4 linked regions of the Elephas maximus indicus genome follow. The main gene of each other region encodes a partner of the protein of the gene in region 4 in a complex. Links are inferred from orthologs where the notes say so. Each region holds a gene or a part of one and is shown on either strand. Other genes may lie near its edges.

What was found.
Region 1: the proteins of DNAJB13 (region 4) and NME5 are in contact, whole or in part, in a cryo-EM structure (PDB 8WZB), measured with the Mus musculus proteins. The link is inferred for Elephas maximus indicus from reciprocal best matches to the Homo sapiens genes DNAJB13 and NME5. Residues at the interface, in NP_705755.2 of Mus musculus: Thr156, Lys157, Lys158, Thr181, Ile182, Asp183, Arg185, Trp188, Arg189, Gly191, Thr192, Arg193, Ile194, Thr195, Phe196, Glu197, Pro281; in NP_542368.2 of Mus musculus: Glu52, His53, Asn56, Met193, Lys199, Pro200, Lys201, Leu202, Cys203, His204, Phe205.
Region 2: DNAJB13 (region 4) and ROPN1L share a complex: the UniProt entries of both Homo sapiens proteins name them as parts of the axonemal radial spoke complex. The link is inferred for Elephas maximus indicus from reciprocal best matches to the Homo sapiens genes DNAJB13 and ROPN1L.
Region 3: DNAJB13 (region 4) and DYDC1 share a complex: the UniProt entries of both Homo sapiens proteins name them as parts of the axonemal radial spoke complex. The link is inferred for Elephas maximus indicus from reciprocal best matches to the Homo sapiens genes DNAJB13 and DYDC1.

What each region holds. Positions count from the first base shown.
Region 1 is NC_064820.1:151,200,772-151,207,995, forward strand, and holds the start of NME5 (nucleoside diphosphate kinase homolog 5), read right to left. Parts: upstream 3,005-7,224; 5' UTR 2,981-3,004; intron 2,936-2,980; exon of another isoform or gene 2,566-2,935; 5' UTR 2,522-2,565; coding exon 2,393-2,521; intron 1-2,392. Other genes in the region: bromodomain-containing protein 8-like, read right to left, coding at 4,260-4,310, 4,880-5,057, 7,140-7,208. UniProt on the Homo sapiens protein: Functions as part of axonemal radial spoke complexes that play an important part in the motility of sperm and cilia. Does not seem to have nucleoside diphosphate kinase (NDPK) activity.
Region 2 is NC_064820.1:1,264,247-1,271,341, reverse strand, and holds the start of ROPN1L (ropporin-1-like protein), read left to right. Parts: upstream 1-4,088; 5' UTR 4,089-4,194; intron 4,195-4,830; exon of another isoform or gene 4,831-4,833; 5' UTR 4,834-4,872; coding exon 4,873-5,003; intron 5,004-7,095. UniProt on the Homo sapiens protein: Functions as part of axonemal radial spoke complexes that play an important part in the motility of sperm and cilia. Important for male fertility.
Region 3 is NC_064826.1:131,929,898-131,937,744, forward strand, and holds the start of DYDC1 (DPY30 domain-containing protein 1), read left to right. Parts: upstream 1-4,831; 5' UTR 4,832-4,917; intron 4,918-7,847. Other genes in the region: DYDC2 (DPY30 domain-containing protein 2), read right to left, coding at 2,721-2,843, 3,144-3,300, 4,244-4,320. UniProt on the Homo sapiens protein: Functions as part of axonemal radial spoke complexes that play an important part in the motility of sperm and cilia. Plays a crucial role during acrosome biogenesis.
Region 4 is NC_064825.1:48,558,191-48,565,187, reverse strand, and holds the start of DNAJB13 (dnaJ homolog subfamily B member 13), read left to right. Parts: upstream 1-3,991; 5' UTR 3,992-4,021; coding exon 4,022-4,089; intron 4,090-6,997. UniProt on the Homo sapiens protein: Functions as part of axonemal radial spoke complexes that play an important part in the motility of sperm and cilia.

The sequences.
Region 1 (7,224 bases), on a different chromosome or scaffold from region 4:
CCTGACATGATCTATAGGGTTTTCATTGGCTGATTTTCAGGAGTAGATTGCCAGGTCTTTCTTACTAGTCTGTTTTAGTCTGGAAGCTCCACTGAAATCTATTCAGTATCATAGCAATGCGTAGGCTCCCAGTGCACATGAGGTACACTGACAAGAAATTGAACCTGGGTCTCCTGCACGGAAGGGGAGAATTTTACTACTGAACCACCAATAACAAGGTTCAAAAAACCAAAACAGTATAAAAAGATATGTACTGAAAAATCTCATTCTAATCCACCCTGTTTCTCTCTCACCTCAATAGGCAACCTTTTTTTAAATTTATTTCTCAGTACTTCATTTTGCAAATACTGGCAAACAAGAATGTTACACTTCCTCTTTCACAAAAGGTTGCCACACACAGTTCTGCACCTTGCTTTTTTCCATAACAGCACACACACAGGTTCTTTATTCTTTTTACACTGAGTTGCACAGTACTCAATTTGGTGGATTCACCAGGGTTTGTTTAACCAATCTCCTACTGCTGGATTGTGTTCAATCTTTCACTAGTAAATAAAACAAAAAAATTGAACCAGCTGCTGTTGAATCAATTTCAATTCATGGCAACCCCATGCGTGTCAGAGTAGGACTATACTAAATAAATAACACTGCAAAAAATAACCTGTATGCATGCCATTTCATGTTAACACAAGAGTTTCTATAGGAGGGATTCCCAAGAGTAGGACTACTGAGTCAAAGAGTAAATGCATCTGTAATCTTGGTAGATAATTGCCAAATTCCCTTCAAGAGGGGTTGTGCCATTTAGAGTTTAGCCAAATGGTATCTCAGTATAGTTTTAATTCACTTTTTCCTACTAAGAGGTTGGGCATCTTTTTACACATTTAAGAAACCCTGGTGGCACAATGGTTAAGCACTCGGCTACTGACCAAAAGGTTGGTGGTTCAAACCCACCCAGCAGCTCTGATGAAAAGACCTGGCAATCTGCTCCCATAAAGATCAGAGCTTAGAAAACCCTATGGGGCAGCTCTACGTTGTCACATGGGGTCGCTATGAGTCGATTATCAACTCGGCGGCACCTACAACAAAAACCATTTGTTTTTCTTTTTTCTGTGACCATCCATGTGCTCTATGCATCTTTCTACTGTTAATCTTTTCTAGGAACACATTATACATTATGGAGATCGGTACTTCATGATACGAGTTGCAAATCTTTTTTCCAAGTTTGTCATTTTGTGTTTTGACCTTGCGTATGGGGTTTATTTGGCCATGCAGAAGTTTTCAAATTTTATGTAGTCTTACCAAGCTTTTCTCTTATGGCTCCTAAACTTTAAGTCATAGGAAAAAAGGCTATCCCACTGCAAAGATAAGAAGAAATTCATCCCTCTTTTCTTCTAAACCTTATACGGTTTAAGTTTTAAATATTTAAATCTCAGATCCATTTGGAGTCTATCCAAGTATATAATATTTGAATTCTACTTTTAAAAAAATGGCTACCCAGTTTTCCTAACACTGTTTATTAAAAAGTTCTATTAATTATATTACATATTTCCTTACTGTTTCCTGTACTGTTTCCTTACTTTTTTCTTACACCACCCCTACTTTTGGCCTCTATACCTATTCTTTGAAGCTCAACTGAAATCCTATATATTTCCTGAAAACTGAAGTTTTCTCTTTTTTAAAACACTGACTAAACAGGGAACATAACACTGTATAAATGTAAGAGAATAAAAAACTGGAAATTCAAGAAAGGATGGAACAAAAAGGAAGATTAAAAATATTCAATTCTATTTGATAATCTTCAGCAATACTCTTTTTATATTCATTTCCAAGTCTCTAAAATGACAGTGTTTACCAACTGCAGAACAAATACAAGGCTTTAAAACCTTAAATGTTTGTAATGAAAAATACTAACTGAAGAAATACCAACAACCTAAGAGACCATCAACAGAGAACTTTTAAAAGTAAATAAATTACGGTTCATCCATACAGAGGAATATTACACAGAAGTTGTAAATAGGACGAATGAGATAGATTCAGATATATATCCGGAGTGCTAAGGGACTTTGTTAAGGGGGTCAAGGGAAAGAAACTATTCCCTTTTAAGAGGGAAAAATATTTGTAAATGCATAGATAATCCCTGGAAGAACAGAAAGTGTTAACAGTGGTTGCCTCTGGAGACTGGGACTTGGGGTTGGAGGGAAAGAAAACCGACTTTTATTTCTCATTTTATATCCTTCTGAACCATGAAAAAAAAGCTTTTTACAACTATCACGTGCTACTTTTATAACTACAAAAATTAATGCTAAGCACTAAGGATCTAAATGGATTAGTGTTATTTACATAAAAAAAAGGATAAAAAAGAGCCAAAAGCACGATCACCCTGCCCAGAAGTTACCTGAACAATGGTGAATCCAGATCTAAGAATAATGTCTTGTATCTCCTCCTCTTTGTCAACAATATCTGGTTTGATAATGGCCAGAGTTTTTTCTACATATATCTGAGGTGGGGGCATTGATATCTCCATCTTGGCTTTTCAGAGTAATTTAATAGTTTCTTGACAGGTATCAACTGCAATGACAGTACCCCACCCACCCCAAAATTAATGTAATTGTGATTAAGAATAGCAATATCAGGTGCTTGATTTTCGTTTATAAAGTCCGAAATGGCCATATATTTTTCTATAAGCATTGTTCCAGTGATATTTCTATTCTGCGTCCAGGTCATGCCTTGGGTTTTTGTAAGGCATTCACCGAGAGAAGGACCGAGGGGCTGCCCGAAGGCCTGGGACTGTGGCAGACGCGCGGGGCGGAGGCCAGGGGCGGGAGCGGGAGCAGGGGCATGGAAGGGTGGGCAGCCTCTACTGGCTGGCTGCCTGAAAGAAGCAATTCCTCCCCACAGGGAGGACTGCTTATTTAGAGCCAGGACTGACTGAAAAGCAGGGTCCTCAGGACCCCTCTGGGCTGCACCCACCGGAGGCACTCACCACAGCACCGCACCCAACTCAGTGACCACAAGTTGTTGCTAGGAGACCAGAAGCCCCAGCTCCCGGATGGTGGCTGCAGAGGGCCAATTCTAGCAGTTCTTCCACGCTTGCCTGGTTTCTTTTAACCAAGAAAGGGAACTAGCCCCAGACGTTTTTGTAGGTCTAGCCCTCTGACTTGAGGCTGTAGAAGAAGGACCTCCCGTTCCTGAAGGCTTTCCACTGCTGCCTGCCTTCCTGTACTACTTCACTTCACAACTTATTAGTGCTGGACCTACTGAGGCTCAGGGCTTTCCAAACCAGTAGGCACAATGTCAGTCCTTCAGGGCCTTGAATCACCCCTAAACACAAACTCTGGGAACACAAGGTCATCTCAGTATCATCCTTATTTTCAAAGACTCAGAAATCAGATTCCAGAGGCTATACTCCTTTTTTCCTGCAGTTCTCCACATACAGTACTTGAATCTGTTCCAAGAGCACTACACTTTTTGGGTTTTTTTTTTTTTTTTTTGCTGTTGTTTTTACATTTTCTTCATAATTATCTTATTTCTTCTTCCTACTTATTTGAGGGATGCTTCAATTATTCTAACTTTACAAATGAGGAAGAGCGCTGGTGGTGCAGTGGTTATGAGCTCGGCAGTTAACTGCCACAAGAGAAAGATGTGGCAGTCTGCTCCCGTAAAGATTATAGCCTTGGAAACCCCATGGGATAGTTCTACTCTGTCCTACAGAGTCACTATGAGTCGGAATCAACTCAACAGGTTGGTTTGTTTGTTTTTTGGTTTTACAAATGAGAAGACAAATCAAAGATCTCCCCCAACCCCACCCCACCCCGTTCCAGACAGTATATGTAAGAAAACCCCTATCAAGTATCTTCTTCATTTCACAGACTGTGCTATCCTCTTTATCCTGGTTTCTTTAATCATTAAAATAGTCTGAGGTTTGTGAAATAACATTTATTTATAGATCAGCAATAACAGGCTTAATCTAGTTACCTCTAAATTAAGCTTGTAGAACAAAGTTGTAGGCAACAATTGTGGCATAAACCCAAATTTCAGCTTTCCTCTTTTCTTTATAGTATGTTCACAGGCATCTTTGACTCCTTGGTAATGAGTTAAAGGTCTTAATTTTATTAGAAAAGAAAATGGAGAAGTGGTAAACAACTACTGAAATCTTCTCTGGATCAGAGTCTTAAGAAGAGGTCCAAACTCCAGAAGAGATCAGGGTAGCAGCTCCAGGTTAACAAAATAGGTTTCCCATCATCCACCAGGTTGGTTGGTTGTCATTCCAGACTACTTAGATCTCTTCTTTTATCTAACCAAATACTCAGCACCTACAGGGTCAAGGCACAGAGAGCAAGCTATGAATCTTAAAAGCTACAGAGATTTAAATGCAATTTATTTCTTCTTCTGCATATAAATTTGACTGTACTTCTTTCTTTAAAGTATGATGCTGCCCAGAAAGAAATTCTCAAATGTCCTCATCTGGCTACTATGTCTTATCTGCTAAAGATGGGACAGTGTGAAAGTACATTAATATCAACAGATGTAGTAATCCAAAAATGGCCAGTGACTCTAGCCGCTGGTTTACACATCTACGCCTCTGACTTGAGGCTCTAGATGCAGGATCTCCCATTACTTATCTATCCCCAGCTCTCCTGAGAGCTCTTCGCTGCTGCCTGCCTTTCTGGACTACTTCACTTGCTAATTTATTAGAGCTCGGGGTGTTCCAAGTCAGTATGCACAATGTCAATCCTTCCTTCAGGGCCCTGATTTATCCCTAAAGATAAATAAACTCTGGGAACACCAGGTCATCTCAGTATCAACCTTATTCTCAAAGACTTTCTGAAATTAGATTCCAGAGGCTATATTCCTTTTTCCTGCAGTTCTCTAAATATAGTACCTGAATCTGTTCCAAGACTTCTCGCTGCATCTCCACAGCCATGTGGTACACATGATGGTCAGAGTCATTGTACATCACAGCATTTTGGAACATCAGCATCAGATCCCGCTGAAACTGGGCCATGGTGCGAATCTGTCCCTTAGACAGATTTCTCTTCAAGCTAGTTAAGTCCATGGGTCTGCAGGTGGCCAAGAGAAACCAGGGGAAATCAAACATTCATGTGGAATATGTGGAACCTAACATGTTCTCTTGGAGAACTAACCAGCTCTTAATGAATAATAGTAAAAATAACAAACCCACCAGATAATAAAATAACAACAGCAGCTAATATTTGACTGCTTTCAAGAGACCAAGCATTATGCTAGGCGCTTTATATATTAACTCAATCTTCTCAATAAACTTATAAGGTAAGTATTATCCCCACTTGACAGATGAAACTGAGATCTAAAGAGGTTAAGTACTTGTCCAAAGTCACATAGCCTGGATTCCAGTTCAAAGGCAGCCTGACTCCAGAACCCACAAGCCCAGGCGTTTCACTCAACTATCATAGCAGAATGGAGCCCTGGCGGTGCACGTGGCTGCTAACCAGAAGCTTGGTGGTTCAAACCCATCTCGTGGCTCTGCAGAAGAGAAGCCCTGGCAATCTGCTGCCATAAAGATTATAGCCAAGGAAACCCTATGAGGCAGTTCTTCTCTGTTATGTATGGTCGCTGTGAGTCAGAATCAATGGCACACAACAACAACAGCATCACAGCAGGAAAGCTAGCCCTAGGTACCAAAGCTGTAAAGAATCCGATGGTCAGTTTGTCACATACTAGTTACTGACTGACTGTTTACAATGTACAATCTTATACTAGGTAATTAATCTACTTTTATTATTGTATAAATCAAAGCTAATTTTTTTTTCTCCTTTCATGGGAGTAAAAAGAATGAGAATCAGGTAAATAAGATAAATTATTATTCAATGAGGCAGAGATAGTGGGTATGTAAGAGAAGGCACAACAGTGTAGAAAGAGGACTAAACTGGGAGGTAAGAATTTGGGGTTTAGTTCTAGCTCTGCTATTAACTATAAGTCAGGACCACCTCTAAGCCTTAGTTTCCTTACATTTAATATGAAGTGTTTTTTTCCAAAGGTCCCTTTCTGATCTTCTATACTCTATTAATAAACACACTGGTTTACAACAGTGCTTTAAATATACTATGCTATCAAAATTCAAAATACTGCAAACAACCAGTGTTAGTAACATCCCTTTGGATTACCGTATCTGCCTTAGAATACTTATATAACTGCCTGGTCATACAGCTTTCCTTTTCAAGTTCTGCTCCAAAAGAACACTATCAAAATCTACCAAAGGCTAATGGTGAGATTATAATAAATGGATCATATTACTTAAAAATATGGGGGAAAAAAAACTCCAAAAAACAAAAATTAGAGTATCCTTTTGTTCCCTTCATTCCTTCTCAAATGAAAAGACCAAGCTAACCATAACTTTACGTTTTTAGCTGAAGTAAAGAAATTATCTAATAGATGAGAAATGAAGAATGAAAAGACACTATCCAAGGCACAACAATTGGTCTCTATTCACCTGGAAAAACACAGAAAGAAGGAAAGTCAGGAGTAGGAGGAAGAAACGGAATGTGCAGCTAACTGCCTCCATGCACAACTGCCTCCTTTGCCATGAGACCAGAAGAACTGGATGGTGCCTGGCTACCATTACTGAACGTTTTGATCTAATATCCTATAGAAGAATCCTGATCAAAATGCAGAACAGAATTTCAAATTCTCATGGAATCCATACTTTCTGGAGCCATTGAGGCTAGATGAACTCCTGAAACTATCGCCCGGAGATAATAGTTAAACCTTAAACCAAAAATATCCCCTGAAGTCTTCTTAAAACCAAATGATAGTTTAGCTTAACTAGTAAAGAATGTCTGCCTTGAACCTTATGCTCTTTTGAGATCTATCTATATGGGTTCAAACTGATAACAGCAACTTGAAAGATCAGATAGGAACCTTAGACGGCAGTGCGTTTATGTTACTGGGGGAGGAACAACTCAGAAAAGGAGAGTGAGAATGATTGCACAGCTTGAAGACTATAATCACTGTCACTGAATTATACATGCAGAAACTTGAACTGGTGTATGTTTTTGCTGTGTATATTCTCAACAGCAGTGACAACAAAATAACTTAAAAAAAAAAAAGGAATTAAAAGACAGATATAAAAGCAACCAACCTTTCTTGACCCCTTTTCCACTGACCTTTTCACCACATCTTTGTATCCTGGGGCCTGCCTATCTGACACAGGCTTCAGAAATGGACTGCTGAACCTGGTAAGAGACAAAT
Region 2 (7,095 bases), on a different chromosome or scaffold from region 4:
TTCAGAAACGCATCAGCACATGTAGATAGAAAAAGCCGCCAAGTCTTGGGCACAGGCTGCCCACCACACTGCCTTCCTGCCTCCTGCCCCCTGCTCCCCTCAGCCCTCCCCCACAAAACCTCCTGGTGAAGCCCGCCAGGAGCCTGGTTGGAGGGAGGTCCCTTTTTGTATCACTACGTTGTTTAATCACCTTTTGAGACTTCTGTACGTGTTTAACGGTGCCCTTGCCTCTCTGCTTCTCTGTTTGTTCCGTAACTCGGCTTGGGAACAAGCAGCTTCCCACCCCCAGCCAGGAGCCCCATCATCCCAGGCAAGGAGCCCCGTCACCCCGGGGGCGGGGGGAAGGAATGCCATCATCCAGCCAGGAGCCCCATCACCTTTGGGGGGAGCCCTGTCACCCCTGGGGGGAAGGAATCCCATCACCCAGCCAGGAGCCCCGTCACCTTTGAGGGGGAGCCCTGTCACCCCCAGGGGAAGAATCTCATCACCCAGCCAGGAGCCCTGTCCCCCGCCCCCCCCCACTTTGCTCAGTCTGATGGGTACCCATGGGCTGCACAGATCCACCGGGGGACGGAACAGAAGAGAGTCCAGAAGTCCAGCCACCGCACACAAAGGGTTGATCTCCCTCCATTTCTGCTCCATCTCTCTCACCTTCCCAGCACACGCCTCCATGGCCATCCTCCCACCCGCCATTCCCAGCCTCCCTCTCCAGTTCTCTCCGGTCCAGTCTCAGCCTCACCCTTCCGCAGGCTCATCCTGTAAAGGCCACAGTGGACCTGCCAACCCTGTAGGGGGACCTGTCTGACACGGCTGCTCCGCTCCCCGAGATGCTCCCCTGGCCACCCATACACCTTGCTTGCTCCATCGTCCTGCCCATCTGGACCCTCCTGCTTGTCCCCCAGCCTCGGCCACGCCCGGCCTCGGCCACGCCCGAATCCCACCTTCTCCCAACCCAAGATGTACACGTGCAGCCTCAGATGCCCAGATTTCCCAGATGGGACAGGTCCAAATGCAGTCCTAACACCCCCAAACCTGGGGCTTCCAAACTTCTCACTCAGATGCCGCCAGACCCGGGGCTCCCCAACTTCCAATCACGCGTGGTAAGCATGTGGATGGATTGGAGTTGCTACATCCAAAATGTTGGAAACACCCTGGCACTTCTCTTTCCCATGCCCCGAGTCATCAAGAGCAGGTCTTTCCTCTTCAGAAAGAATTGTCATCTGGCTGCCTGACGCCAGCTCCATGCTGGCCGCCTGGGTTACTGTCGTTTTAAGACAGGGAGCAAAGGCCCTGAGATCGGAGAGTGCCTGTTTGAGAAACAGCGAAGAGACTGCTGTGGTTAGAGGAGAAACAAGTAAAAGAGAAATAAACTACACTATCAGGGAGGTAAGAGGGGGTTCAGTGTGGAATATAGAGGCTTAGGGAACAGAGGGGCCCCCAAATCTGCAAGCAAAGTAACAAGAAATAGGCCAGGGCACAGAAACAAAGCCGTTCCCCAGAAAATGGGGCAGGGTATCTAGAAATAGCCCGCAAACTTCTTTAAAGTTGCCTTTCAGAAGCAGTTGGAGAAAACCAGGCCCAGGGACATGCGCAGAACATCCACCTGTGGCCGCTGTGTGGCCTTCCACCAGGGGCAGTGAGGGGACACAGCCCCAGCCAGGGGATGGAACCCGGACAGCGGGAGACTGCACAGATGTGACACCCCATAATAAGTCCTGCTACGAATCCAAGAGGCCTCCAGGACAGGAGCCACCTGGGAAAGCTGCTGCCCGCGCACCTTAGTTAACATAGCCCCACCTGTGTCTATGAATAAACATGAATCCTTTCCCACCCAAGAACTTCTAAAACTCAGGCCCGTCTTTTGTTCTGTGAGCTGAGGGTATGCGTTGCTCTAGGCCCTCCTCGTCTCCGCTTGCAAGCCTCTTCAACAAAGCTTTGCTTGTGTGGAAAACTATGTGCCTTACCTACTCATTCTTGACCAGTCAGAGGCAAGAACCTTATCCCGGTAACAGTTTCTCCTGTGAGAGCCTTGCTCTCTCTCTCCTCCTTCCGTATTCCACAGAGTCCACAGTGACCCTGTTAAAATCTCAGTCAGGTCACACTCTTCTCAGCCCTCCGATGGCCCCTGTCACACTCGGGCTGTCACACTTGGGGTCAGAGCTCTTGTCCACATGGCCTTCATGGCCAGGCCAGGCCACTGGTGCCTCCCCGTGACCACAGCACCCCCTGGCGTTCAGGTCAGGCCTCGCGACGTGGGCGCTTAGGCTTGCCCTGCCTTCCCCAAGGCTCCTCAGGCCTCCTCACTTGTGTACCCCAGGAGGGTCACCTAGAACTGCAGTTTCTGGCGCCTTCCTGTCTCCTCTCCCTGCTGTTTTTCTTTTCAACACTTACTCACACTGCGGTTTACCCATCTTGTTTATTTGCATGTTTTCCCCACTTGAATGTAAGCTCCAGAGGTTGATCTTCTTTCTTTTGTATTACATTGTTTGGGTTATCCCTGTGTTCTCTGAACCTAGAACAGTCCCTGGCACATTTTGGCACTCGGTATGTATTACTGCCACCCCACCCCCGCCAACATCGTCTGTCAGTGTGTGGCACTGTGAGGGCTTGAGTGTTGCTGTGATGCTGGAAGCTATGCCACCAATAATCCAAATACCAGTAGGGTCACCCATGGTGGGCAGGTTTCAGAGGAGCTTCCAGACTAAGACAGACTAGGAGGAAAGGCCTGACAGTCTACTTCCAAAAATCTGCCACCGAAAACCTTAGGAATCACAACAGAACACTAACTTGCTTGCTTTGGACACGTCATCAGGAAGGATCAATCGCTGGAGGAGGAGGTCATGTTTGGTGAAGTCGAGGGCCAGCGAGGGTGAGGGAGACCCTTGAGATGGATTGGCCCAACAGCCACAATAATGGAATAAACATGCCGGCGATCCTAAGAATGACTCTGGACTGGGCAATGTTTTCATTCTACTGTACACAGGGTCGCCTTGAGTTGGGGACGCTATCTATCTTGTATTGCTGAGAAATAAATGGATTCAGAATCGAAATAATCTATAAATGGTTAAAATAAAACCTGGAAGCCAGCCACATTCTCCAGACGCACCAGTTACCGGTGGTACCCATAAGCAAGTCGTTGTACCACAGGGCCCAGGTTGATGCACAGGTGGTTCTCCAGGGTATCTTTCCACTTCGGTTTTCGTGGCATCTCCAGGTCGGCACTACAGCTGCCTCCATCTCAGTTCTGGCTGTGCTGTGTTCCGTCGTGGGGCTCGATGGGCCACCATCACTTGTTCCGAAAGGCAGTTAATACACCACGTTATTGTGCGCTGTCGCGGGCGCTCTTGCCCACATAGCTTTGTACACGCAGGTCAAGGTGTGCTCAGGATAAACTCCCAGGAGGAAGGCTGCTGCATCTCCAATACGGCCCAAGGGCCCCCTGTTCACGGGGTGAGTCCGCGCCGTCCCTGTCTCATCAACACTGATGCTCACTGCTCTACTTGTCAGTGCTGCTGATCTGGGAGACCGTGTGTGCGTGCGTTCGGTGTGCGCGCCTGGGGGTGTGCGCGCGTTCGGTGTGCGCGCCTGGGGGGGTGAGTGTGTTCGGTGTGCGCGCCTGGGGTGTGCGCGCGTTCGGTGTGCGCGCCTGGGGGTGCGCGCCTGGGGCATGTATGTGTGTCCACATTGGGGCGATACGCGCGCGTTCGGCGGGCTGGACCACGGGAGGTCGGGGGCGTCACCGCCTGGAGCGGTCCCCGCGGCCCCATCCTCCGAGCGGGGTGAGGACCCAGCAGAGCGGCCTGGAGCGCGGGTTCCTAGGGGCGGCCGGAGCCGGCCTCACGAGGCAGGTGGCGCTCACAGGACACCGTGGGCGACGACTCAGCAGCACCGACCGCGTGGGGCGCCATGCTCTGGGCCGCACTGCGCAGGCGCACGCCTGACCCGCCGCCTACCGGCCCGCGGTGACAGTGCACGTGCGCGCCCCTCCGCTGCCGGGCTCGTGCGCATGCGCGGTCTCAGCTCCTCGGACATGTGCGCCTGCGCGGTGTCGGGGTTAGGGGGGTCGCGCGCGTCCTGGTTGCCTGGATACGGATGCGCAACAATAGCGGCGGCGTGCGCTGCTCTAAACCGGCTTTGGGGTGACGCTCGAGAGGTGGTTGGTCCACATTCCCCGAGGAGCCGGAGGAGGAGTCGGTGAGATCTCTCGTCGTCCCCAATCTCGTCCCGGGACCCCAACCCCAAACGGGGAAGGGGTACGCTGACCCCGAGCACCGTCCCCGGACCTCGACCCCAAACACAGGGAGGGGGAAAGCCGTCCCCGAGCCCCGGAACCCGACCCCAAGCCGGGGATGGGGGACACTGACCCCATGCTCCGTACCTGGACCCTGACCCCAACCCGGGGATGGGGTACACTGACCCGGTGCTCCGTCCCTGGACCCCGACCCCAAACCCGGGGATGGGGTACACTGACCCCGTGCTCCGTCCCTGGACCCCGACCCCAAACCCGGGGATAGGGGGACACTGACCCGGTGCTCCGTCCCTGGACCCTGACCCCAAACCCGGGGATGGGGTACACTGACCCCCTGTTCCGTCCCTGGACCCCTACTCCAAGCCGGGGATGGGGGGACACTGACTCCATGCTCCGTCCCTGGACCCCGACCCCAAATCCGGGGATGGGGGACACTGACCCCGTGCTCTGTCCCTGGACCCCGACCCCAAACACGGGGAAAGGGGACGCCGACCCCAGCCCGACCCCAAACCAGCGGTTGGGGGTGAATGGACCCCTGGGCCATGCCCTGTGCTCTGCGCTGACAACCCACCCTCCGCCAGCAGCCACCTTGGTTCTCCCACCTGGCCCCGTCTGCCCACGCGATGCCGCTTCCCGACACCATGTTCTGCGCGCAGCAGATCCACATCCCTCCGGAGCTGCCCGACATCCTGAAGCAGTTCACCAAGGCCGCCATCCGCACGCAGCCTGCGGACGTGCTGCAGTGGTCCGCGGGGTGAGCGCGGGGCAGAGGCCTACCTCCCAGACCCGCCCAGGGCGTCCCGGTCCCGGGGGTTCGGCCCCCTTCTCGAGGATGGGCCCCCTTCCCGGGGATGGCCCCACTGCCCCACGGCAGGGAGCCCAGAGCAGTGCCTGGCAAAGCTCTTTACTGTGGGTGAGGTACGGACCTAAGTACCTCCTAGGAAGCCTGGTGGCTGATGAGCCCTGAGGCCAGCGTGGTTCACAGCACACGGGAGCTCTAGGGCACTTTCCACAAAAGTTTCTAATCTTAGCTTACCAGTCAAAAGGCCCTAGAGCCTTTACTGCAAACCTTTAGATGTTGACCCTAGAACCTTTACTGCAAACCTTCAGGTGTTGACCCTGGAACCTTTACTACACACCTTTAGATGTTGACCCTAGAACATTTACTACAAGCCTTTAGATGTTGACCCTAGAACCTTTTCTACAAGCCTTTAGATGTTGACCCTAGAACCTTTAGTACAGACCTTTAGCTGTTGACTCTAGAATCTTTACTACAAGCCTTTACATGTTGACCCTACAACCTTTACTACAAACCTTTAGGTGTTGACCCTAGAACCTTTACTACAAATCTTTAGGTGTTAACCCTACAACCTTTACTACAAACGGTTAGATGTTGACTCTAGAACCTTTACTACAAACCTTTAGATGTTGACTCTAGAACCTTTACTACGAGCCTTTAGATGTTGACCCTAGAACCTTTACTACGAGCCTTTAGATGTTGACCATAGAACCTTTTCTACAAGCCTATAGATGTTGACCCTAGAACCTTTACTACGAACCTTTAGATGTTGATCCGAGAACCTTTACTACAAGCCTTTAGATGTTCACTCTAGAACCTTTACTACGAGCCTTTAAATGTTGACCCTAGAATCTTTACTACAAGCCTTTAGATGTTGACTCTAGAACCTTTACTACAAGCCTTTAGATGTTGACCCTAGAACCTTTACTACGAACCTTTAGATGTTGACTCTAGAACCTTTACTACGAGCCTTTAGATGTTGACCCTAGAATCTTTAGTATAAGCCTTTAAATGTTGACCCTAGAACCTTTTCTACAAGCCTTTAGATGTTGACCCTAGAACCTTTACTATGAATCTTTAGATGTTTATCCTAGAACCTTTACTACAAGCTTTTAGATGTTGACTCTAGAACCTTTACTACGAGCCTTTAAATGTTGACCCTAGAATCTTTACTACAAGCCTTTAGATGTTGACCCTAGAACCTTTACTACAAGCCTTTAGATGTTGACCCTAGAACCTTTACTACGAGCCTTTAGATGTTGATCCTAGAATCTTTACTATAAGCCTTTAAATGTTGACCCTAGAACCTTTTCTACAAGCCTTTAGATGTTGACCCTAGAACCTTTACTACGAACCTTTAGATGTTGATCCTAGAACCTTTACTACAAGCCTTTAGATGTTGACTCTAGAACCTTTACTACGAGCCTTTAAATGTTGACCCTAGAATCTTTACTACAAGCCTTTAGATAATGACCCTAGAACCTTTACTAAAGCCTATAGATGTTGACCCTAGAACCTTTACTACGAACCTTTAGATGTTGACCCTAGAACCTTTACTACGAGCCTTTAGATGTTGACCCTAGAACCTTTACTACGAACCTTTAGATGTTGACCCTAGAACCTTTACTACGAACCTTTAGATGTTGACCCTAGAACCTTTACTACGAACCTTTAGATGTTGATCCTAGAACCTTTGCTACAAGCCTTTAGATTTTCCTGGAAAGCTCTTCGACCCTTTTTGGTGAACAGGCTTGAGCAAAAGCTCAATTTAACCATGACCGGAATTAGCATAAACAGATTTAAGATTTTTTGTAACTAGCTTGTCAGTTTTGCTGACCTTCTCTAAACCGTTCAAAGGGAATTTCACCAGTTTGGTAGAACTGCTGTAACAAATGACCACAGACTTGGTGGCTTCAGACACCACAGATTTATTCACTTAGAGCTCTGGAGGTCAGAAGTCTGAAATTAGTTTCACTGGACTAGAGCCAGGTGTCAGGGCTGCTGGGCTCTGGGCCCAGCCCCCTGCTCACAGGAGCTGGGATTCAGG
Region 3 (7,847 bases), on a different chromosome or scaffold from region 4:
CTCATAGTGATCCTACATGACAGAGTAGAACTGCCCCATAGGGTTTCCAAGGAGTGGCTGGAGGATTAGAACTGCCAACATTTTGGTTAGCAGCCAAACTCTTAACCACTATGCCAGCTAAAACAGCAGGCATGCTGAAATCTTATGTAACCCACGCTAGGTTCCCAGGTTTCCCAGCACTAGTGACACCAAATCTGAAGGTGACCAATAGCAAGGAAACGTTTTCAATCCACTTCATGAGCCAATCAGAAATCAAAATTTAGAATTTCATCTTATTTGATGTACCTTCACCTCTTTCTACCACTCGTCTGTCAGTTTATCTTACTGTGGTGGCTTGTGTGTTGCTGTGATGCTGGAAGCTATGCCATCAGTATTTCAAATATCAGTAGGGTCACCCATGGTGGACAGGTTTCAGTGGAGCTTCCAGACTAAGAAAGACTAGCAAGAAGGACTGGTGATTTACTTCTAAAAAACTGGCCGTTGAAAACCTTGTGAACAGCAGCAGGACACTGTCTGAAGAATGACGTATTGCACTGGGCAAAACTGCTGCAAAAGACCTCTTTAAAGTGTTAAAAAGCAAAGAAGTCACTTTGAAGACTAAGGTGTGCCTGACCCAAGCCATGGTATTTTTAATTACCTCATATGCATTTGAAAGCTCGACAACGAATAAGGAAGACCAAGAAGAATTGATGCCTTTGAATTACAGTGGTGGGGAAGAATACTGAATATACCATGGACTACAAGAAGAACGAACAAATCTGTCTTGGAGGAAGTATAGCCAGAATGTTCCTAAGAAGCGAGGACAGGACAGCAAGACTTTGTTTCACGTACTCTGGACATGTTATCGGCAGAGATCAGTCATTGGGGAAGGACATCATGCTTTGTAAAGTAGAGGGTCAATGAAAAAGAGGAAGACCCTCAATGAGATGGATTGACACAGTGGCTGCAACAATGGGCTCAAACATAGCAACAATTGTGAGGATGGCAAAGGACTGGGCAATGTTTCCTTCTGTTGTACATAAGGTAGCTATGAGTCAGACCCAACTCAGTTCTGACCTGCAGCTAACAACAACATAACGACCACCTGTTTGCCTTCATCTAGCCTTTTCATCTTTTACTTGGAGAGTAACTTGCACCTGAATGTCATGGCTCTCCCTTGCCAGGTAAGCAAATTCACTGTTGTTTTCGATTACTGTTTGATTCTCTTTATTTTTTTCTAACAAAGGGAATCAATTTCCATAACTACAACTTGCATATAAACTCTTTCCTAACACCGAGAACTTGCACTTGGTCCAGGCATCGTGCTAGCTCTCATTTCCCATTTTTCCTTACAATTACTTTTGTCTCACACCTGGCAAAGGAATGACATGCCTTTTACTCATCCAAATATTATTAAGGAATATTGCTACAGGGTTTAAACCTCCTGAGTGTAATAAAAAATACAAGGGGACAATTCAAAATATTGGCACGAGCAAAGTATTCTTTAGTAAAGGCACCATAAAACAAGGGTGGCATTTCATTTTGGGGTCTCTCTCTGCCTTACATATATTTCTGTTAACAGTGAAGCATGTGTTAGAAAAGGGCTAGAGTGGGTGGCAAGGTGAGGGCAACTTCTATTAAATGACCTCATCTCTCCCATCCTCCAATTATTGTTCAAAGACTGTATCATCCCAGAGGGAGAGGTCCCTTGGACTATGTCAAATAATGGCGTGAAACCATCTTTCTTTTGATTTAATATATTTATAAAACATCCAGACTTCAAAAATAAATCTTAACTGTTATTAGGAAAGTTGAGCATATTAGTATAAATGTACATAAGCTTGTAACGTTTTCACATCTTAAAAAAAGTTGGGTTTGGAAATCCTAACCAAAAGGTCAGCAGTTTGAATCCACCAAGTGCTCCTTGGAAACTCTGTGGGGCAGTTCTACTCTGTCCTATAGGGTCGCTATGAGTCAGAACAGATTCGACAGCAATGGGCACTGGGTTATACAACTAGCATTGCTTATGCAAAAGCTAGTGAATTGTACAGACTGCATTAAAGATTTCAGTTCATAGGACATAGTGATAGTTAAAATGATCTCAGGTATCAAGTCCAAAATTGCAATTAAGTCAATTCCCTATTCAGGTGTACTTTGTAGAATGCATAAAATGACCCAAGACACTGTTCAGGAGATTGTGCCATAAAACTGTGGAAAATAAAAGATATGCTAGTCCACAATTATTTCCAATTATTTCAACATTACAGCTTCATAGAGGAGGCATCTGTGGCTTGGTGCAAAAGTAAGTACGTGCAAAAGTAAGTAGCACACAATGAACAAAATACATATATAAATAGCTTGCATGAAATAAAATATCTGAACTATACACTGATAACCATATTTGGTTTCTGAAAAATATTAAACAAATTTTTAAAAGAAGGCAAAGCATCTTGTATGAAGCTATATTTTTCCAGGTGAAGTTATTAGATTTCTTAAAAATCTAATTTTTTAAACTAATAACATCAATGGTATTTCCTGGAACCTAAAATGGAACTGCCCTTTAAGATTTCTTTTTCATAGACAGGGATTGTAAGATTGATTTACAGGTAAGTATGTAACTACAGAGCAAAAGGCGGGCTACTGGGAGGCTCACGTGCACTGGACTGCGGCAGGCTACTTGTTGACGTCCTGGTCTCCATTTGTGTGATGTCTGTGCCCAGTGCTCATTTCCTCCTTCCTACCTTGTGATCCTTTTCATCTTTCTGTTGAATTTGATACTCTCCTTGTTTCACCATTTCTGCCATTTCTGTTTCCTGAAGACTCTTGTCATACTCCTCTTTCAGCTGGGTCTTCTCTTGCATGCTCTAGGTGATGTGACAGAGCTGAATCAGTTCAGTACCCAGGTGGCAAGTACAAAAGAGCCCGCCCTCCTTGCTGACAGACCTCAGCCCTTCATGCCTGCCCAGCTCGCTCCTATAACTAGCTTTATTCTCCTAGTAGCTCTAAATCCATCAACTCCACAGCATCCTTGGGTTGGATTCTCTCTGCAGCCCCCAGACTATCCACACTTCTGGGCCCAAGCCAAGAAACTCCCCAGGCAAGCTCCAGAATTACTCTAGAGAAAGCTGGAAGCCCCCCAAAGGAGAGCCAGTGCACATACATACCTCTTCTTTTGCCTTTGTGGTTTTCCGATAATGATAAAGCCAGTGAGCCAAGTACTCTATTGGGTCACTGGGCCGAACCTTTGCCACCTCTGCCAGTGCCTGGGCCAGGCAATTTCCAAAGCATCTCTTCAGGTACCCCGTTTCCATTCTGTGGGGCCTGGGAAAAAATCCAAGCAGAGTCCCACTGTTGGTTTAAGAAATGGACACATTCTAACCAACTCATGATTCATTTCAGGATAAATATGAGATGTTTCTGGATTCCACCCTGCCCCAGAAGAGCCAACAAAGGAGACTTGCCAGTAGCTCTTATCTTCAAGTGAGCTTTTTCCTAATGCTCTCCAGCAAACAAAAGGTTCTAGGGGGTCATCAGGCCTCAGAGGAAATACATTGATGGTTAGGGATGGCTACAGGCCTCCACTTACACACTTACACCCTTGGGTTAGGGAGCCGTGGTTTTGTGACACTGGAACCCACAGTCACCTATGACCTAGATCCAAACCCGAACCCACTGCCCTTGAGTCAATTCTGACTCACAGTAACCCTACGGGGCTGAGTAGAACTGCCCCATAGGGTTTCCAAGAGTGTAAATCTTTATGGAAGTAGACTGTCATATCTTTTTCCTGCAGAGAAGCTGGTGGGCTTGAGCCACTGACCTTTAAGTTTGCAGCTGAGTGCTTTAACCACTGCACCACCAGGGCTCCTATGACACAGATAAAACCCACAGATACAAAGGCTTATTTATTTCACAAGAAGCCTAGGGCAGGAGGAGGCAAACTAACAGGCCCTGCAGCTACTGCTGGTCAAGGGCGCTGCCACACCTAATACTATACTCCACTTTCTACTACTTAAGCAGAAAACTACTTTATTTACTTTTGATTTACTTGCCCTTTGATTTACTTTTAATCAGATTTCGAGAGCTGGAGGTAATGTAGCCTGGGTCATACTGGCTTCCAACCAGTTCGTTCAGGCCCCAGGTATACGATTCAGAATCCACATTTTAACAAGATCCCCTGGTGATTCTTATGTATAATAAGCTTTGAGAACCACAGCTCTACTAGTGGCTCTTAGAACTGGCCCCTAACCAGCAGCTTTAGCATCACCTGGGAACTTGTAAAGAATGCAAACTCTCAGCAGGGGTTCCGTCCCAACCAATAGGTTCAAAGACCTGTAACACCATACGTTTACGAGGCAGTATACGGTGGCAGTATGAACGTAGACTGTGGAACCAGACCAAGTTCCAGTCCTGGTTCTCCTGTGATCTTCAGCAAGTCAGTTTATCTGAGCTCCCGCTTCCTCATCTGTAAAAGAGAAATAACAAATGTACCTCAAAAATTGAGAGGATCAAAAGAGATAATACATGGTGACTAGTACATAAAATCAAACCAGTTGCCGTGGAGTTGACTACCTGGAGAAAGCACTTACCCTAAGCAGGCGCCCCTCCCTGCTTCTCCCGGAGCCCACCAACCCTTCCTCTCCCAGAATCCCTCAGCTCACTTCCTCTGCTCCTCCGACGCTCCTCACAGTGTCTATGCCGCATCCCTCCACCCCGCGCGCGCTCGCGTGCGCACCGCCTCCTCTTTATGTCGTGCTCCTCGCCCTTTCGCGCGCTCCTGGGCTCACCCACCCGCGCGCTTCTCCTCTCTGTGGCGCGCTCCCTTTGGCTTCTGGGGTGCGCGAGTTTGCTGCCTAGCGACGGGACGCGGATAGCCGGCAGGAGTTCGGCGCGTGCGTGCGGCGTGCGCATCGAGAACGCAGGCGCAGTGGTCCGAGAAAGGTTCGTCCCACTTTCCTTGGGTCGCAGCGGGCAGAGGCGGTTCTGACAGACGTTGCTAGGAGCCTAGGGCTAAGGGGGCGCCCAAAGGCCATGTGAGGGTTAGCTCCGCACCTGGGGTCCCGTTTGCCAGCTGCTCTTCCTCCTCCTCCTCTTCCTCCCTCGTCCTCGGGGAGCGCGCCTTGTGTAGGGATTTGCCAGATAAAACACCGGACGCCCAATTAAATTTGAACTTCAGATAGACAACGAAAAACATTTCAGTACCCTGGTGGCGCAGTGATTAAGAGCTCGGCTGCTAACCAAAAGGTCGACAGTTGGAATGCACCAGCCACTCTTTGGAAACCCTGTGGGGCAGCTCTACTCTGTGCTATAGGGTAGCTATGAGTCGGAATTCGACTGGACGGAAATGGATATAGTGTAATACAAAATTATTCGCTGTTTAGCTGACATTCAAATTTCACTGGGTGTCCTGTATTTTTATTTGCTTAATCTGGCAGCCCTACCTGGATCTGTCTCCCTGGTTTGGGCGAGGCATCTCAGTCTGTCTCTTGTGGCACCTTCTCCAGATTTGAGGCGGCTGTTTCTGTGGGAAGGGGCTTTCTTCTTTTGATCCAAGATGCTGCCTATTGGTGTATATGAAAAATAGCATTCCTTTCAACAACTCTGTGAAATGGGTACTATCACCATTTCGTGGACAGGGAACAGATGCCAAGTGAGGTGACGAGCCCCGCCCAAGTCCCACTGATGATGGGCTGCAGCACACCGTGGACCCGTTCCTACTCTTAATCTCCCGCATTAGGGACCCTGCCCCCTTCCCGCGTGTTTTATTTTTGAGGAGCAGCGGCAGGAGGCCCTTCCCTCTTTTATGTTACTCCACTTCAAATGAAGTTGAGATATCTTTGTAGTTTCTTCTGTTTTTAGAGAAGTACAGTGAAGATACTGTGTTCCAAAGTCAGCTGTAATCTTTTCCCTGTGTGGTTAGGACACCAGTGCCAACCTGATGGGGAGTTAGGTTCATTTGTACCAGTTTGCTTTTGGTCTGTAGAGTTTTTAATTTTTACACACACGGCATTCCTTTCTCACTGCTGTTGCTAATACAAAGGATGGCATGCTATATATACTTGCTGCACCTTGCTTTGTTAATGTCCTGAATGTCCCTCCCTGTTTTAGAGGTCTTCCTCATTCTTTTACATCTGCATAGTAATTGATGGTGTTGCTGTGTATCATCGATCTCCTGTTGATGAATAATTGAGTAGTTTCCCAGTCTTTGGCTATTCTAAGCAGTGGTGCAAAATAACCTCGTGCATATGTCGTTTCGTATTTTTACAGGTGTATCTTTGAGCTAGGATCTTTGAGCTAGGATCCCAGAGTGAGATTGTGGGGTCGCAGAGAAGACATGTGTAGAGTCTGCCAAATTCCCCCCATACCATTTTGCACTCCCATCAGCATTGCATGAGAGAAGAGCAGTATTGGGGGTCTATGCATAGATCTCAGGATGTCAGTGTTTCTGAGATCTTAATATAAAATGTCAGGTGCATTGGACTAGGAGCAGGATGTGGACAGCCTGGCACTCTGTCCCCATGCCTGTACACTAACTCCTATACCACGCCTTTTCTCTTACCTGGAAGGCTCTGCCTTCTCTTTGCTGTGTTGACCGCATGCTCACTCCTATACCAGCGCCTTTTCCCATACCTGGAAGGCTGTTGCTTCTCCTTGCTGGGATGACTTTTACTGTTCCTTCAAATCTTAGTTTGAACATCACCCCTCAGGAAAGCTCTCCTTGACTTTTCCAACTGGGTCAAATCCTCCTGTTATCTGGTTTGCATAGTACTCATGACAATTTCAATTTTACATTCATTTATTGATGTTAATATTTGATTAATGTTTGTCTTCCCTACTCACCTGTAAGCTCCATGAGGGCAGAGACTGTGTTTTGTATTCCCAGCATCTGTCAAGGTGCCTCAGTTTGTATTTGTTGAATACAAACACACACAAAAAAGCCATTGCTGTCAAGTTGATTCTGACCCATGATAACCCTATGTGGTGCAGAGTAGAATTGCTCCATAGGGTTTTCTTGGCTGTAGTGTTTATGGAAGCAGATCACCAGGCCTTTCTTCTGTGGTGCCACTGGGTGGGTTTGAACTGCCAACCTTTTGATTAGTAGCTGAGTGCAAACCATTTGTGCCACCCAGGGACCATATTGTTGATAGGCATTCAGTATATATTTGTTGAATAATGAACACATTTCATCAGCTTTTTCGAGGAGTCTAAATTCCATAAAAGGGCATGACCAGCAGAGATGCAGGGTGTTCAGGACATGTCGGGGCAGCAGAGAGATCTGGAGGCGCCTGAAAGGAGAATTGGGGCCAGATGGTCAGGAGTCTATTAAGCTGTTATTTGAGGACTGGCCATGGAGAGTCATGGAATTTTTTTTTTAAGAGGTGGAATATTGTGATGTTTTATAAAAATGGCTCTCATGGCTTGGAATCAGCATCTTAGTTCAGTCAGAGTGAGGGCTCTGGAATCAAGAGTTGCGTACTGCAGTAAGCAAGGGTCAAAGTGAGCAAATTCCACCTTCTCTGCTAACTGCATGGTAAGGATCAGCATGAATCCAACCCCCAAATTGTGGAAATGGATCTAGTCCTCACCTTCCCACTTCCCCATCCTCATTGCATGCCAGCCACCCAAGTGGCACACGCTCTCTTCAACCCTACCCACCCAGGGGTAGGTCAGAGCTCAAGTCAAATGGACACCGTCCTTCAGACCAGCAGCCTTCTCATATACCTATCCACCCAAAGCTAGATTAGACCCCACAATTTAGACACTGTCCTTCATATAGGCGGATGCCAGCCCCTGCTGGTTCTCACTGCCCCTGTGGATTTGTTAATTTGCTGGAATGACTCAAAGAATCTTATGGTGAGTGTACCATACTT
Region 4 (6,997 bases):
CATGATATAAACATACAAAAATCTGTTGGATTCCTATACACCAGTAAAGAGAATGGCAAAAAAGAAATCAAGAAAACAATACTATTTATAATTAAAAAAAAAAAAAATAGCCCCTAAAAAAAACAAACTTAGGAATAAATCTAACGAGGGATGTGAAAGATCTATACAAAGAAAAGTACAAATCACTACTGCAAGAAACCAAAAGAGAACTACACAAATGGAAAAACATACCATGTTCATGAATAGGTAGACTCAACATTGTGAAAATGTCAATTCTACACAAAGCAGTCTACAAATACAATGCAATCCCTTTCCAAATACCAACGGCATTCTTTAAAGAGACGGAAAACTAATCACTAACTTTACATGGAGAGGGAAGAGGTCCCAGATAAGTAAAGTACCACAAAGAAGAGGAAAGTAGGAGGACTTGCACTATCTGACCTCAGAACCCACTATACAGCTAAGGTAGTCAAAACAGCCTGGTACTGGTACAATGACAGATACATTGACCAATGGAACAGAATTGAGAACCCAGATGTAAATCCATCCACCTACAGTCACCTGATCTTTGACAAGCACCCCAAGTCCATCAAATGGGGAAAAGACAGTTTTCCAACAAATGGTGCTAGCAAAACTGGATGTCCATCTGCAAAAAAGTGAAACAGGACCCATACCTCACACCATACACAAAAACTAATTCAAAATCGATCAAAGACCTAAATGTAAACCAAAAACTATAAAGATCATAGAAGAAAAAAATAGGATAGGATCAATGCTAGAGGCCCTAATACACGGCATTAACAGGATACAAACCATAGCTAACAGCACAGAACTCCAGAAGATAAGCTAGATAACTGGGCTCTTCTAAAAATTAAACACTTATGCTCATCAAAAGACTTACCAAAACAGTAGAAAGAGAACCTACAGAGTGGGAAAAAAATTTTGGCTATGGCAAATCCAACAAAGGTCCACTCTCTAAAATCTACAGGAAAATCCAATGCTTCTACAGCAAAAAGACAAATAATCCAAATAAAATATGGGCAAAGGAAACAAACAGACACTTCACCAAAGAAGACATTCAAGTGGCTAACAGACACAGGATGAAATGCTCAAGAACACTAGCCATTAGAGAAATGCAAATCAAAACAACAATGAGATAACATATCACCCCAACATTACTGGCAGGAATCAAAAAAACAGAAAATAACAAATGATGTGGAGGCTGCAGGGAGAGTAGAACTCTTATGCACTGCTGGTGGGAATGGAAAATGGTACAACCATTCTGGAAAACGATATGGCACTTCCTTAAAAAGGTAGAAACGGAAATACCATATAATCCAGGAATCCCACTCCTAGGACTATATCCTAGAGAAATAAGAGCTGAATAGACATATGCACACCCATGTTCACTGCAGCATTGTTCACAATGGCAAAAAGAAACAACCTAGGTACCCATCAATAGATGAATGGATAAACTATGGTACTACATACATGCAATGGAATACTACACAATGATAAAGAACAATGATGAATCTGTGAAGCATCTCACAACATGCATGAATCTGGAGGACATTATGCTGAGTGAAATAAGTCAATCACAAAAGGACAAATATTGTATGAGAACACTACTATAAAAACTCATGAAAAGATTTATACACAAAAATAAACAACCTTTGATGGTCACGAGGGTGGGGAGGGGTAGGGATAGAAAAACACAAATAGACAATAGATAAGTGGTAACTTTGGTGAAGGGGAAGACAGTACATGATACTGGGGAAGGCAGAACAACTTGTTCAAGGCAAGGTCATGGAAGCTCCATAGACAAATCTAACACCCTGAGGGACTGAATTACTGGGTTAAGGGATGTGGGGCCATGGTCTCGGGGAACACCTAGCTCAGTTGGCATAACATAGTTTATAAAGAAAATGTTCTACATTCTACTTTGATGAGTAGCATCTGGGGTCTTAAAAGCTTGTGAGCAGCTATCTAAATTACTCCACTGGTCTCACCCTGTCTGGAGCAAGGGAGAATGAAGAAAACCAAAGACAAGGGAAAGATTAGTCCGAATGACTAATGGACCACAAGTACTACATCCTCCACCGGACTGAGTCCAGCACAACTAGATAGTGCCTGGCTGCCACCACCAACTGCTCTGACAAGGATTACATTAGAGGGTCCCAGATAGAGCTGGAGAAAAATGTAGAACAAAAATCTAACTCATGAAAAAAAACAGATTCATTCTTTCTTCTGACAGAGACTGAAGAAACCCTGAGAGTATGGCCCCCAGACACATTTTTAACTCAGTAATGAAGTCACTGCTGAGGTTCACCTTTCAGTCAAAGATTAGGCAGTCTCATAAAACAAAACAAGACTAAATGGGCACACTAGCCCAGGGGCAAGGACGACAAGGCAGGAGGGCACAGGAAGCTGGTAATAGGGAACCCGAGGTCAAGAAGGGGAGAGTGTTGACATGTCCTGGTGTTGGTAACTAATGTCACCAAACAATATGTGTACTAATTGTTTAATGAGAAGCTAGTTTGTTTTGTAAACCTTCATTTAAAGTACAATAAGAAAAAATTTTTAAAGCGTCCTTCTCATATTGAGTTTAATGAGGTGCTGTTTTCCCTCATTTGCTATTTAGAATGCTCTATTTATTGTGTGGTGTAACAGTCTACACCATTGTCTTGGTTATCTAGTGCTGCTGTAACAGAAATACCACTAGCGCATGGCGTTAACGGTTTATTCTCTCACAGTCCAGTAGGCTAGAAGTCTGAATTCAGGGGAAGGCTTTCTCTCTCTGTTGGCTCTGGAGGAAGGTCGTTGTCATCAGTCTTCCCTTGGTCTGGGAGCAACTCAGTGCAGGAACCTCAGGTTCTGCAGTGCAGGACGAGCTCTGCTTTCGGCACTGCTTTCTCGGTGGTATGAGGTCTCCCATGTCTCTCTGCTTGCTTCTGTCTTTTATATCTCAAAAGAGTTTAGATTAAAACACTAATCTTGAAGATCTCATCACTATAACTGCCACTAATTCATTTTGTTACATCATAGTGATAGGATTTACAACACACAGGGAAATCACATCAGATGACAAAATGGTAGACAATCATACAATACTGGGAATCATGATCTAGCCAAATTGACAGATATTTTGGGGGGACGCAATTCAATCCATGGCAACCACTAAAAGTTATCAAATGCCAAAATAAAAAGTGTGGTAATTCATGTTGATAGTATGTACCCTTGATTTTATATGAAGAGAATGACTCTTTACTTCCGTGGTCTTCCTCCCAACAACCCATAACTGCAGTCTAATCATGAGAAAAACGTCAAACAAATCCCAGTTGAGAGGCATTCTACGAAGTACCTGACCAGCACTCCTCACATGGTTAAAAGTTATCAAAAACAAGGAACATCTGAGAAACTGTCACCAGCAAGACGATCTAAGGAGACATAACCAGTAAATGTAATGTGGTATCCTGGATGGGATTTTGGAACAGAAAAAGGAAAGAAATCTGAATAAAATATTAGTTAACAATAATATATTAATATTCGTTCATTAATTGTGACAAAGTTACCATACTAATATGAGATGTTAATAGTAGGGAAACTGGGTGTAGGGTATATGAGAACTCTCTGTGCTATCTTTGCAACTTTTCTATAAATCTAAAACAATTCTAAAATTAAAAAATTACTTAAAAAAATCAGCCAAATGCATTTGTTCCAAAAACTTTCAATTAAAACTAATTGCTGCTCTCCTTAAAAACAAAGAAAATAAAACAGGGTTCTGTGATTCCCTGGTTTCTGAGTTGGATGACCTTTATCAGGACTACAGCGTCAGCCCCAGTTCTCCCAAATGATTCATTCGCTCTTCTAAGAGGCAGAGCAGAGAAAGTGGGTTGCCTAGGAAGGACTACAACTCCCAGAGTGCCCCAGTGTGGTTGTCAGGAGCAACCAAGGAATGCAGACTAACAGCCCTGCTGGAGTCTGAGGGACCATCCGTCTACTGCCTGCCGGCCAGTCAGCCATGGGCCAAGATTATTACTCTGTGCTCCAAATCACTCGAAATGCAGAAGATGCCCAGATCAAGAAGGCGTAAGTTGGGGTGGCAGCCAGGCTTTGGGATGTGCCCGTGCAGGCCCTGCCCTCATCTCTTCCCTACAGAGCCTTCCTGCCTAGCTCAGGGCAGGCAAGTTAAACTTCGTTCCTTCTTTTGCTTCTTGCACATCTATATACTGGCTTTGGGCTGGGCCAGGGTCCAGGTTGGAAATTTGGACACCTCAGCTCCTCAACCTGCTCTCAAGCCATCATTTACCCTCTATGCCCTGGCTTCTCTCCTGGGTACCTCAGTTTTCCTGGCAATGAAATGAGGACAAAGGAGACATTTGAACTTTATCCTGAATATTCTGGAGAACCAAACGATTTGAAACAAGCAGTGAACTGGACAGATGGGTGTGTGATAAATCTCATTCTGGCCATTCTATGGGTTTGGGGCACTGAATAAACTGCATCTCTTAATATGTCCATCAAGTCTTGGGGACTTTGTGGTCCATTCCTAAGAAAGTCTAGGACAGGAGTCAGCAAATTTTTCTGAAAATTTGTTTTTCTTAACACACATTTATTGATCACCAATCGTGAACCAGACAGATGTCCTTTACCTCATGCAGCTTAATTGTATTGGTAAATACAGCTGTTGTGTAAGTCACCACAACTGTGATGAATGTTAGGAAAGGGGAAGTGCAGGGTGCTGTGGAAGCTTATATCAGAGGGAGAAAGACCCCTTGGGAGGCTGTCCTGGTAATCAAGACAACAGGTGAGGCTTAATGTAGGACAGTAGGGTGAAGAGACGAGGGGGAATGGACTTGGCAATCAAATGAGTCATTGGAAGATAATGAAAAAGGGAGGGATCTGGGATATCTCAATCAATGGAGTTTGGGTAGTGATAAAACCCACTGTCATCGAGTGGATTCTAACTCAAAGCAACCCTATATGACAGAGGAGAACTGCCCCATATGGTTTTCAAGGAGCGGCTGTTGGATTCGAACTGCAGACCTTTTGGTTAGCAGCTGAGCTCTTTTTTTACCAGGGCTCCAAAATTCTGGGGTATTTACACTGCGGGAGCCCTGGTGGTGCAGTGGTTAAGTGCTCCACGGCTAACTGAAAGGTCAGCCGTTTGAACCCACCAGCAACTCTGCAAGAGAAGGATGTGGCAGTCTGCTTCGGTAAAGATTAACCTGTTGCCATTGAGTGGATTCTGACTCATAGCTACATTTATTGAATGTGCAGGTGCTGTTCTGAGCACTCCATCATTATTTCTTTTAAATCCTCACAACAACCCAGAGAGGTAGGTGCCATTATTGTCCCAAGGCCACACACCTAACAGATAGCAGAGCCAGTATTGAGATACCATGCCTACTATAATTGCCTACTGTGGGCTCAGCCCTGAGCCAGGTCCTGTAGGGGGTCTAAGTGAGGAAAATGAAGAGTCTACAATGTGGTTGAAGAAAATTGAGAAACGTGTAACACAATTAGAGAACAGTTCAGGACAGCATGTGATGTCACCCACTGTTCAGGGCATTTTATTGGCCCTGGGACCCATCTAGGGAAAGGTCACCAGAAGGGAGGGCAGCTGTCCTGCAGAGAGATAAGCAGGGCTTGATCACTGGAGAGTTGTTGTGTGCTGTTTAGTTGGTTCCAACTTATAGAGACCCTATATGACAGAGTAGAACCGCCGCATAGGGTTTTCTAGGCTGTAATTTTTACAGAGGAGCCCTGATGGTGCAGTGGTTAATTGCTCGGTTGCTAACTGAAAGGTCAGTGGTTTGAACCCACCAGCTACTCCGTGGGAGAAAGATGTGGCAGTCTGCTTCTGTCAATAGATGTCCTAGATGTCTGGCTTCCTGATGCATCCTGCTAAAGGAGAGCTCAGAGCAGGAGACTGGAGGAAGGAGGAGAGTGGGGCTGAGGAATTTATTCCAAGCTCCCTTCCTATGGGTTATCTTTGGGTTGGCTGTGTCCCTTAACTGACGGTCACAGCTCCCCCGAAGGCGCCTGTTCTTTCCTGGGTTTCAGTAACACTCCCTCCCCTCACACCTATAGGCTCAGAAGCAGTAGGGGTGCCTCAGTGTTACAGCTCAGGGTACTATCATTTGTGGCTTCCTTCCACCTTGGCCACACATTGGTGAATGGCCCAGTATTACCCAAATTACCAAATCCATGCTGTCTCTTTTCTCCTGGGACACTGATGATACAGATCTCAGATGCTGTAGGCATTGCTGCACCGAGTGGTGGGAGTGGCCAGATACAGAAGTGAAAAACGAAAGAGCACAGGACTGGAAGACAAGGCAAAAGGACCTAACATTCACCGAGTGCCTCTTTGTACCAGGCCCTTGTATACCTTATTTAATCTAATCCTCCCAAGAAGTCTGAGTGCCGGTTCAGGTCCTCCGAGGAGCAGACACCACGATAGGATTAGATGTACAAGAACTGAACTGGGGGAAACACCTGTGAAGGGTAAGGGGGAGGGAGCAGAGTATGCAGGGAGTGCTTCAGACCGTAGTGTAGGTCTGACACCTATGAAAAGAGATAGGGAAGGAAGATTGGGCAGGAAATTGCTGCAGTGTGGTTCTGGGAAAATCTCAGCTAGGCTTGCAGGGAGTCCTCAAGCAAAGGTTGCCTTTTGGAGGAGTCCCTTGTCCTGCCCTAATATTCCCACCATGTTTAGACATTGATCAGGAGCAGCTTAAGTAAAGTGGAGCCGTGGCACAGATGCCCAGAGTGGCTATAGCTGGGCTGTCATTCAACTACACTCCCCACACCAGGTTCTCTTCAAGGAAATCTGAACATTGCACCTCCACGGCCATCACAGCCTATGAGGTCAGGGTTATCATCCCTGATTTACACCAGGGAACATCAAAGCTCAGGGGGGCTACTAAAGTAGACAGCACAGCCAGATCTGAACCATGGTCTGACCCTTAAAAATAGGTCAAATATTATGACTTGT